Macaca fascicularis: one gene and its partners. The protein of the gene in region 1 purifies or fractionates together with the protein of each later gene. This does not show direct contact. Links are inferred from orthologs where the notes say so. Each region holds a gene or a part of one and is shown in the gene's direction. Other genes may lie near its edges.

The links.
Region 2: the proteins of LITAF (region 1) and NEDD4 purify together in Homo sapiens (co-immunoprecipitation; 4 studies listed by BioGRID and IntAct, counting the BioPlex papers as one, with this or other methods). This does not show direct contact. The link is inferred for Macaca fascicularis from reciprocal best matches to the Homo sapiens genes LITAF and NEDD4.
Region 3: the proteins of LITAF (region 1) and NEDD4L purify together in Homo sapiens (affinity purification with western blotting; 3 studies listed by BioGRID and IntAct, counting the BioPlex papers as one, with this or other methods). This does not show direct contact. The link is inferred for Macaca fascicularis from reciprocal best matches to the Homo sapiens genes LITAF and NEDD4L.

What each region holds. Positions count from the first base shown.
Region 1 is NC_088394.1:12,238,508-12,242,155, reverse strand, and holds part of LITAF (lipopolysaccharide-induced tumor necrosis factor-alpha factor), read left to right. Parts: intron 1-1,286; coding exon 1,287-1,443; intron 1,444-3,648.
Region 2 is NC_088381.1:32,304,252-32,307,899, reverse strand, and holds part of NEDD4 (E3 ubiquitin-protein ligase NEDD4), read left to right. Parts: intron 1-1,128; coding exon 1,129-1,329; intron 1,330-2,985; coding exon 2,986-3,066; intron 3,067-3,626; coding exon 3,627-3,648. UniProt on the Homo sapiens protein: E3 ubiquitin-protein ligase which accepts ubiquitin from an E2 ubiquitin-conjugating enzyme in the form of a thioester and then directly transfers the ubiquitin to targeted substrates. Specifically ubiquitinates 'Lys-63' in target proteins.
Region 3 is NC_088392.1:22,722,492-22,726,817, reverse strand, and holds the start of NEDD4L (E3 ubiquitin-protein ligase NEDD4-like), read left to right. Parts: upstream 1-1,525; 5' UTR 1,526-1,650; coding exon 1,651-2,802; intron 2,803-4,326. UniProt on the Homo sapiens protein: E3 ubiquitin-protein ligase that mediates the polyubiquitination of lysine and cysteine residues on target proteins and is thereby implicated in the regulation of various signaling pathways including autophagy, innate immunity or DNA repair.

The sequences.
Region 1 (3,648 bases):
AGGGTCTTATCTGTGAGTATTACTAAGTTCAGTTAACTCTAGGTAGTAATATTCTCCTAATCCATTTGTTACATAAATGGCATTCTAACAACGTAAAAAGGAACAGAAGGAAGTTGCTTTGACAAAAATATGAGCTTAACAACTGAAGTGCTTAATGATTGTCATCACCCTGGATTCTCTTTTTTTTTTTTGAGATAGAGTTTGTTCTGTTGCCCAAGCTGGAGTGCAGTGGCGTGATCTCAGCTCACTGCAACCTCTGTCTCCCGGGTTCAAATGATTCTCCTGCCTCAGCCTCCCAAGTAGCTGGGACTACAGGCGCGTGCCACCATGCCTGGCTAATTTTTGTCTTTTGAAACAGGGTTTCACCATGTTGGCCAGGCTGGTCTCCTGACCTCTGGTGATTCACCTGCCTCGGCCTCCGAAAGCCAAGGGATTTGCTAGGATTACAGGTGTGAGCCACTGCACCCGGAATGGATTCTCTTCTGATTCTTGTGAATGTTCAAACATGGTTTCACATAGCTTTTTCTTCCGAGCATTATTTCATATTTTCATTTCTTGTATCAACACAGTTCACGAGCTTATTGTCTTATAGAGTAGACCTGCATTTCCTGGCTTGGTAAACTCTACCCTTATCATTGGGTGTCAGAGTTTATCAAAGGGTCTGTGTAAAAAGAGTGGATTGTTTATCGAGGGCTGCTAGGCACAGTGTGAGGCTGGTTAAGATTTATTTATTTATTTTTGAGACTGAATCTCACTTTGTTGCCCAGACTGGAGTGCAGTGGCGCAGTCATGATTGACTGCAGCCTCAATGTCTCAGACTCAAGTGATCCCCTTGACTCACCTCAGCCTCCTGAGTAGCTGGGACTACAGGCATGCACCACCACGCCGGGCTAATTTTTATAGTTTTTTGTAGAGATGAGGTCTTGTCATGTTGCCTAGGCTGATCTCGAACTCCTAGGCTCAAGCAATCCTCCCACCTCGGCCTCCCAAAGTGTTGGGATTATAGACATGAGCCACTGCGCCCGGTCCTCCTGTTTTTTGAGGCTGAATCATATTCTGGTGGATGGAGAAACCTCGCTGTGTTAATTCATTGGTCCATCAATGGACACTTGTGTTCCTTCCCCTTTTGGCTCTCATAGGTAGCCAAATGACGAACGCATGCTATGAACACGGATGTACAATTATAGTATTTGCTGGCATCCCTGCGTTCCTCTCTTTGTCCTGTTGTGAATGCTAGTGGCCTTGTTTCCTGAGCAGCCTGTGTTTGTCCCTCTCCCTTTCATCAGTTACCGTGCAGACGGTCTATGTGCAGCACCCCATCTCCTTTCTGGACCGCCCTGTTCAAATGTGTTGTCCCTCCTGCAACAAGATGATCGTGAGTCAGCTGTCCTATAATGCCGGTGCCCTGACCTGGCTGTCCTGCGGGAGCCTGTGCCTGCTGGGGTGAGTCTGCCTCCCACTTGGCCCCAAGCCCTCCTGCCCTTCTCTCCGGGTGCTGGCGGCGGGGTGGGTTCTCAACCGCACCATGCTTGGCATTCAGGCCAGACATTTGTGTTGGTTTCTTTTGAGATGGAGTCTCACTCTGTCACCCAGGCTGGAGTACAGTGGGGCAGTCTCGGCTCTCTGCAACCCCCACTGCTCAGGTTCAAACGATTCTCCTGCCTCAGCCTCCTGCGTAGCTGGGATTATAGGGGTACACAACCACGCCCAGCTTATTTTTAATAGAGTCGGGGTTTCACCATCTTGGCCAGGCTGGCCTCAAACTCCTGACCTTAGGTGATCTGCACGCCTCGGCCTCCCAAAGTGCTGGGATTACAGGTGTGAGCCACTGTGCCTGGCCTAACACAGTTCTTTCTTTTTTTGTGACGGATTCTCACTCTGTTGCCCAGGCTGGAGTGCAGTGGCGTGATCCCGGCTCACTGTAACCTCTGCTCCCCGGGTTCAAGCGATTGTCCTGCCTCAGCCTCCCTAGTAGCTGGGATTACAAGTGTGCACCGCCACGCCCGGCTAATATTTTGTATTTTTAGTAGAGATAGGGTCTCACCATGTTGGCCAGGCTGGTCTCGAACTCCTGACCTCAGGTGATCTGCCCGCCTCAGCCTGCCAAAGTGCTGGGATTACAGGCATGGGTCACCATGCCTGGCCCAAGACATTTCTTGATTGTAGGGGGTGTCCTGTGCATTGTAGGATATTGAATAGCATCCTTGGCCCCCACTCGCTTGATGCCAGGAGCACTACGCTCCCCACTTCTGACCAAAAATACCCCCTGGGAGGCCAAGTCATCCCTACTGCTCTATCAGTCCCCAGAAATTGGTCTTCCGTCTTTTCTTCTTGCTTATCTGCGCGTGGGGACAAGCTTCACAGCTGCTTCCAGCTGTGTGTAGGGCAATACCCTCAGGGGTTCCTTTTCTTCTAGAATTTCATGACCTAAATAATAATGTTTGCTGGAGCCCGAGGGAAGCTTTAAACAATCTGTGCATTAAAATTCTTCATAGGAATCGCTTCAAAACTTCTTATCCTTTTATGACCCAAAGTATTTTTCCCGTTGCCCATGCGCGGGAATTATGTAAATATTTATGTCTGCACCCAGGGTATTATGTTTAAAGAGATAATAGTTTCTGTTCTGGGAGAAAAATCTGAGGAAACACAATCAATTTTTTGTTTCCCACCAAGCAGGTAAAAGTAGCTTCCTTATTCCTGGCCACGTGAGCCACTCAGAAAACCCCAAGGGGCTCCATTCTTTTCCTTGAAGGAACCGATGTTTGTGACTTTCAGGAGCCTCATGCAACCAACACATTCCTCCACATTGTCCTTTGGTGACTTGAGGTTGAAAAGGAACAATATTTCTCTTCCTAACTTCAGTAAGAGGCTCAGAGTCCCGGAGAGTGTAGTTAACTTCCTCGAGGTCATGTGTTAAATAAGGAAGGAAGGAGACAAAACAGCTTTCTGGGCACCTGATTCCCCCTCTTGCCCACAGGACTCTGCTGTTGTTTTCATTCCATGGGCAGAAAATGCTAAAAAAAAAAAAAAAAAAAAAAAAAAAAGAGTCCATTGCCTCTGGATATTTGTATTAAAACAAATTTTTATCTTTGAAATCAGGGAAAGGACAGAATAGAAACTTCCTTGTTTTGTTTTGTGTGAGACTGAGTCTTGCTGTGTTGCCCAGGCAGGAGTGCAGTGGTACGATCGTAGCTCTCTGCAGCTTTGACCTCCTGGGCTCATGCAATCCTCCCACTTCAGCCTCCTGAGTATCTGGGACCACAGGTGTGTGCCACCATACCCAGCTAGTTAAAAATTTTTTGTGTGTGTGTGTGTGTGGAAGCGGGTGTTTTACTATGCTGCCCAGGCTGGTCTTAAACTCCTGGACCCAAGCAATCCTCCCGCCTTGACCTCCCAAAGTGCTGGAATTATAGAGGAATAGAAACTTACACTGAGTATTGGCCTCTGCCAATCTGGCTTTACAAATTGAGGCAGCCTTTGTTTCCCTCCCTTTGTTCCTTCCTTAAACATGGTAGAGTGGGTTCAAATCCTGCCTCTCACTAGCTGTGTGGCCATGGGCAAATGACTTTACCTCTCTGTGCTTCGGTTCCTCATCTATAGACGGGGGGGCGGGGCAATAAGGCCCACCTCAGGGGCTGCCGAGGATAA
Region 2 (3,648 bases), on another chromosome or scaffold:
CAAATGCACATATTCTTTACACTCAGAATTACCATCATTAACAAGTTACCATATTAATTTCCAGACATTTTATTTTTAAAAATAGAGTCTTATAGATTAAGCTAAATTCCTTTTAGCCAAGCTCTTGGTCCCATTCCCCAGGGGGAACCACCATCTTGAATTTCTTGTGTATTCTTTTAGCCTTTTTTATATACTTACATAAAGAGCTTTAAAAATGTAAAATAAAATTAGCCGGGCATGGTGGCACATGCCTGTAATCCCAGCTACTTGGGAGGCTGAGGCCGGAGAATTGATCGAACCTGGGAGGTGGAGCTTGCAGTGAGCCAAGATTGCGCCCCTGTACTCCAGCCTGGGCAACAGAGCAAAACTCCGTCTCCAAAAAAAAAAAAAAGAAAAGAAAATGTAAAATATTGTTTATATGCCTGTGTTTCTAATTTTGCAATGAGAGAACACTCATTTTATTTTACAGAATGAGGTGCTGCTCAATTAAAAAAAACTTTGCCCCATAAGTCTACACCTTTTTTTGCTTAACATTGTTTTAAAGCTCTGTCTATATTGTTATTTATAGATCCAGTGTATTTCTCTTAACTACTAATATTCCGTCATGAATATGTTACATTTCACTTATCCATTTCTGTGGTAGATATTTGCCATTCATTTTGTCTGCCCAACATTTGAATCTACATCTGTGTATGAGGAATTCCCCATCCTATGAGTTTTGGGAAAACAAAGACGACTTCCTCCCATAGGCACCAGAGCTCCCCTTGCAGCTAGGACTTGCGCTTGTGGACCTCGCTCCTTCAATCAGATGCACCCACAGCAGACTGTTAACTACCATCTTACTGCTTGAGAATGAGTTGAGAAATTATAAATTACTGTAAAAATAAAGTTATACAAAATAATGTATTGGAAAAGTGTTATTAAATGTTATTAAATGTAATGCATTATTAAAATGTTGGGAAAATATTAATATGCCATAACTACATTTGAAAATGAGCCTCAAATATGTAGAATCTCTTTAATGGAGGGTGTGTATTCTATTTGCAGGTTAGGTTACCTTTTTAACTGCATCTATTTGTGAGTTTTCTCTCTATAAAATATTACAGTATGATTTCATTAATGTGCTAGGCCACAGTGGAGACCAGTCAGCTGACATCAAGCCAGAGTTCTGCGGGCCCTCAATCACAAGCCTCCACCAGTGATTCAAGCCAGCAGGTGACCCAGCCATCTGAAATTGAGCAAGGATTCCTTCCTAAAGGCTGGGAAGTCCGACATGCGCCAAATGGGAGGCCTTTCTTTATTGACCACAACACTAAAACCACCACCTGGGTAACTTTGACACTCTTCCATCTAAATGTATAACAACAATAATCATCTCTTATGTATAGTTCCTTACAATCTTTAAGTGTGTATTTCTATAACCTGTGTTTCCTAATATTCATTGAAAGATATATTGAATTCTTAATAATATTATATGTATTCAAGAGAATGCTTATGCCTCTTTTTAATATTGTTTTGGGTTACGGAGATATTCATGTTTACTTCCTATTTCCAGTTTTTAGCTCACTGGCCACAAATGCTTAGGAAGATATATAGGAATAACCCTTTGCTTTTATATGAGGCTTTATAGCTCTAAAGCACTTTTGAATCCATATCTCATTTAATATCAGAAAAACCTTGTGAGGCTAGGTAGAACAAGTATTTTTATTTCAAGATAAGTCTTAAAGTTGTTTAGTGCTTGGCTTACTACTAACAGAAAAATTACTTAAAGGCTGGGTACAGTGACTCACGTGCTTTGGGAGGCTGAGGGGGGCAGATCACAGGGTCAGGAGATCAAGACCATCCTGGCTAACATGGTGAAACCTTGTTTCTACTAAAAATACAAAAAAATTAGGCATGGTGGTGGGTACCTGTAGTCCCAGCTGCTTGGGAGACTGAGGCTGGAGAATGGCATGAACCCAGGAGGTGGAGCTTGCAGTGAGCTGGGATCGTGCCACTGCACTCCAGCCTGGGCAACAGAGCGAGACTCCATCTCAAAAAAATAAATAAATAAAAAGAAAAATTACTTAAAATTAGCAGCTGATGAATAGATTTTGATTAATTATTAAAAGACCAACATAGCTTAAATAATACTAAAATTATTTAATAAATTAATACTATTAAGGTAATATATGTAAATTAAACCAAATAAATTGAATTTTGTTCTCTTTTTTAACATTCTGAATTGGCCTTTGATAACGTTTTTGGGCTTACCTTCCTGTTATTCAAAAATATTAATCAACCCTTGAACAGATAGCTGGCAAAATGCATGTTCTGGGGCTTAGAAATATCATGTGGTCCAGGGCCGGGCACGGTGGCTTACGCCTGTAATCTCAGCACTTGGGGAGGCCAAGGTGAGTGGACCATCTGAGGTCAGGAGTTCAAGACTAGCCTGGCCAACATGGTGAAACCCCATCTCTACTAAAAATACAAAAATTAGCCGGGCATGGTAGTGCATGCCTGTAATCCCAGCTACCCAGGAGACTGAGGCAGGAGAATCCCTGGAACCTGGGAGGCAGAGGTTGCAGTGAGCTGAGATGGTGCCATTGCATTCCAGCCTGGGTGACAAGAGTGAAACTCCATCTCAAAAAAAATCAATGAAAGAAATATCATGTGGTCCAATTTAATGTCCCACTCTTTCACCAGTTTTTACATAGAGAAAAGCCGTATGTGACACATTTCCTAAAGCGTGGGGCAAAAGAGATTACCAGTTAGTGGTGATCCCTGAGAACTGCTCCTTATTCCTTTTGATCTTATAGCCTGAGAGTGATAGATTTTAGAAGGAGAAAATATTATGTCACATATTTAGGAAATAAAGTATAAATTGACTTTTACAAGAGGATATTTTAAATATCCATTGATGCTAGAAAACATGGTAACAGACTGACTTTCATTATTTTAAAATGTGTGTGTGTGTATTGTTCTTTATTTACTCTACCAAAAAAGGAAGATCCAAGATTGAAAATTCCAGCCCATCTGAGAGGAAAGACATCACTTGATACTTCCAGTGATCTAGGGCCTTTACCTGTAAGTGTATAGAAATGTTAACCCATCTAACTTGGCTATCTCAAATATTTTGTATTTTTGGATATAGTCGTTCTTTATCAGCTATAATTAATATTATTATTAAAATGTAGGCTGGGCGCGGTGGCTCATGCCTGTAATCCCAGCACTTTGGGAGGCTGAGGTGGGTGGATCACGAGGTCAGGAGATCCAGACCATCCTGGCCAACACGCCATGTTGGCGAACACGGTGAAACCCCGTCTCTACTAAAAATACAAAAAATTAGCCAGACGTGGTGGTGGGCGCCTGTAGTCCCAGCTACTCGGGAGGCTGAGGCAGGAGAATGGCGTAAACCCGGGAGGCGGAGCTTGCAGTGAGCCAAGATAGCGCCACTGCGCTCCAGCCTGGGTGAAAGAGCAAGACTCCATCTCAAAAAAATAAAAATAAAATAAAAAATTTAAAAAGGTCGATACCTTCTAAGAATCGAATGGAATATGCAAGTTAACCATACAACCAGTGCTGTTTTTCTATCCATTCATCTAAAACCCTATCCTAACATAATTGAAATACATTCTTCATTATAGCCAGGATGGGAAGAGAGAACTC
Region 3 (4,326 bases), on another chromosome or scaffold:
TGTGGTTACTATGCAAAGAATGCTGGTGTTGCTGTTTTGTTTTTCTTTGTTGGCTATTAACCCAGCGGAGACAATATGTGGCTATGGTAGTACTTGGAAGTTCTAGCATTACACAGACTAGCTTCCATTTCTCTCTAGAGGTCATTTTTGGCATTTAAAACACATGCTTTTAGAAAACAGATTTGGATGTATGTAAACACAGGGTTAATCCACCACACCCTGGATGCTAGGGCTATTGACAAAGTCATGCTTTGCAGATTTTAAAATAAACTTTTTGTCACTCTTGCAGCTTGGTATTTTCCCCTCCTATTTTTTCACCCCCTCTAAATAAACCTCTTTGTTAACTAATTGGTGTTTCTGGATCATAGAAAATAGTGAGTTTAAAATACAGCATATTTCCAAGCTAACTACAAATCTGAGGACAGTTTTTCGACTGTGCACCTTTCCTTCCATTTCTTAAGTCTTTTTTGGTCCTTTGCAAACATGGCAAGATTCCATATTTGTGTCCCAACTGTGGTAATATTGCTGACTTCGTACTGGAGAGCAGTCAGCTCTAGGCAGCATTTCTTCTGCATGGTATTTAAGTTAAATTATTACCACACACAAAAAAAATCCACATGCACTCCCTTCTTCAATTTTCCTTTTGTTTTTTGTTGTTATTGTTTGTTTTTTCGTTGACGTTTTCTTTCCTACCTGGCATATGGGAGACAATGTTTTCTCCAGCTGGGTTCCTTTTCTCTGGTACTTTGGTGTCTGCCAGTCATGTGTGAGCTACACACACGTATACACCTTTTAAATGAAAAATGCTGTGATAGCAGGAGGCCAACTGGGTGTGTAGCACGTCGCGCTCCCTCCCCTCCCTTTAGCTATTTTGTTACTTGTAGATCCTGGTCTAATTATTTAGCATTAAACGGACACTAACTCTGTGGGGTGTGTAATCGTATTTATAGTACTGTTTTATTAGTTTGCATTCCATCCTGGTAGTGTAGTGATGTCATAAATAACAGAAACATGGTATCCAATGCTTGGGAAGGGGTTTACCCGGTGGCCAAGCCATATTTTACTTGTCGTTATTCCATGTGTGGTGGGAGGTGGGGAAATACCGTGTGTGCTGTTAAACATGCCAGGTCCCTGCACAGGTTAGACAGAGTCCCAGCGCTGTGCTCCATTGGGAAAGAAATGCCCTGTGAATGTGATGTGGTTTAGATTTATAGCAGCGTGGCTTGCAGTGTGTTTGCTGCCTTAGTCAGCTGTGAGAGCGCCCTGCTGGGGCCACTCCTTTCTGATGGAAAAGCAGCAGCTGGGAAGGTGCTGTTTCAGGCTCTTGCCGTTTAAAAAAAAAGCGAGTGGGGGAAAACTCCTCTAAGTCCAGAAGCTGGCATTGGAGGGGGAGAGCGCGGTCATGTGGTTCTGGCCACCCTACCCTCTGTCACAGTGTGGATGAGAGCTTTTTGCTCTTATCCAATCATGCCTGGAATGCCGCTTGCCACTTGGGTTATTTCTGCTATCTGTCGCTCCTGGTGCCGCAGTGCTAACAGTTTGGCAGATGGGACACTTTTTCTTGGAGTTTGTGTCTTTGGTTTGTGACTTCTGGCAGTGCCGGGCCTGTTGTTGCCGCTCGCCCTCGCCCTCCTGGCCCCCCTGGTCACCATGGCCCATCGGCTTCGGTTTCATTTTGGCTCTGGTCGCAGCAACACAGCCCCCGAATCAGAGATCCTAGACCAGGAGAGAGAAGACGACTTCTTCATGGCATTCCACACCCTACCACGGAGGAACAGCCCGCACCCCTTCGCCCAGAACGTAGGGGAGGATGGCGACGGAGGCCTGCAGGGAGGCGTGGGCGCGCTCAAGCGGAGCTCGTCCATGTTCATCCCGCAGCTCCTGACCAGCATCGACGCCCGCCCCACGTGCAGCTCCTCGGTGCAGATCTCCCTGCAGCGCAAGGCCGCGGACGGGGCCACGGATGGGTGCGGGCCGCCCGAGGGCGCCGACGATGGGCCTCCGTGCACCACGCCGGACCCCGGGGACCAGGCCTCCGCCACCGCCACCGCCACCGCCACCACGAGGGCCTCGCCCCAGAGCGGTTCCCGGGAGCCCTCGCCGAGGGACACCCCCGGGAACTCCCCTCCGAGGGCAGCCCGGGACCCGGGGCTCCAGGTCAACGGCACGTGCGGCGGCCGCCGCCGCGTGCGGTGCCCTGGCCCGGTGGACTGCCCCGAGGAGGCTGCCCCGGGCCTGCGCATCCAGCACCGCGCCTCCAGCGCCGACGTGCGCCAGGTGAGGCTGCTGCCCCTCGGCCCGGATGGCCAGGGCGGCCCAGCGGCGGCAGAGCCCAGGCGCTGGTCCCTGCAGCACGTTCCAGATGCTTCTGGAAGCTCCGGGAAGCGGTGTTTTGTCTTCCAGTTGCAGCAGCCCCAGCAAGGCGCTCTGGGGTCAGGCAGTGACCTCAACTTTGGCTTCACGGGCACAAAGGGGGACAGGTTGGTGAGGTATCCCCGCATTCGGCTGGAGAGGAGCACCTCGTACCCCACGCAGCCCCGAAGCGAAAGAGGGAGCCCCACGGAAGATCGGGGAGCCCCGGAGGCACCGCCTCGGGCTGGCAGGATGGCTCCCGAAATCCGCAGGACGAACTCCGCAGAGAGGACTCCGCAGGGCCAGGGGTGCACATTTAAGATCAGGCAGGATCAGAACGCGGGGCAGCAGCATTTTAGAATTCTTGTAACCCGGGGGCCGGAAGAAGCTCCCCAGAATCCCGAGGAGAAAAGCGCCAAAAGCCCTGTTTCCACGGGAGCTGACGCCACGGTAAGTTCACGGCTTGTTTACATGTGTTTACTGATTTCAACTTCGATGCTTACTCTGCGGCGTAACCAAAATAAACCTCACCCTCTGTCCCGGGAGTTTCCCTGCTTCAGGCCAGCGGATCTGAATGTTTGGCCGAGTTCTGGCACGATGATTTGTGGTCCAGAGTTTGGTGCGCAAAACACCATTTCTGCAAATGTCTTCTGTAGGTCCTCAAAGTCAACCAACTTTGTCTGTTTGGGAAATCCAAGCAGAATACCTTCCCCCTGCTTTTATTTTTCTGAATAGAAGAATTTTGAATAAAATTTATTACTTTAATCTGCCAAAAACCAAGTCAGTGCCCCAACATGTTGATGGTGGAAATGCATTTAAAAAGCTGCTTGCAAATATAACCTGCGACAATACTTTAAAAACAATCAGTTCTCGGAAAGGTGAGGATATTGCAAAGGACCTGAGTTTCGTCTCTTAATAGTTAAAGAAGGTGAATGTAAAGTTTGGTGAAATATGATTATTTGTCATGGCCTTTTTGCTGAGGGGGTCAGGTCAGTCGTTGTTATATAATTCGCTTTGGGTTTTTTTGTTGTTTTTTATTTTTTTGTCCCATTAAGTAATACTGAACGAGAGTAGTGTCACTTGTGGCATAGCGACATTACTGTCCCACAAGTGACACTACTGAGATACTAAGAGATGTGTTTTTAAAACAACTGGGTTATGGCCCAAGGCTAGGGGAAACTGACGGGGACTCATTAATGGTCAGATGGCATGCCGTGCAATTTAACACTGTCCACTTGAGTGTCCAAGCCGGGGATGCTGTATATAGAATAGTAAGTACCCTGTCTCCAGCTGTGGAAATAGACGCCTTAGAACAGATTCTGGCCTTCCTGTTTCTCTGTTCCTGATCGCTCCCTTTCAGTGAAATGGAGTACAGGGAGACAGCTGCACACTCCATCCGACCAGGCATATGATGACTCTGCAGCTTTCGTAGAGTGGGATGAAAAGTTTAATCAGTTCGGTTTCTTTTAGTAGTAACCACTAGCCAGTGAGTGCTTTCTCTTAAAGAACAAGCTCCTTATATTTTGAATTGGATATTTTTTTCTCCTGAATTTCATGTGACTGCCAATTTGAGGATACGATTAGTAAATGTCTAGGGGACTTTTTGTTTGGATTTCACTTGTGAATAGTGATTTAGAAAAGTGAGTGTCTGAGTATTACTCTAGAATTGTATTGTCTTTTATTGCTTTGTGTTCAGAAATACGTTTCGTCTTTTAAGTAAACTTTGTCACTCCTCTATCATTGGTTGTCATCATTTTGAAGATACAATCAGATGCTTAATGAAAATTTGTTTTTCTTCATCTCTTTCTTTCCATGTATCTCCTTTCTTTCATTATCTCAAACTCTTCTGTTGGGAAACAGCTAAGTGCTTTGCCTTGGTCGGAACCTATACCATATATTACACAATGGTACAAATTTTGACAGAGTTTTGATATTATAGTAGCCTTTAACCCCCACCCCAACAAGTTACCATCA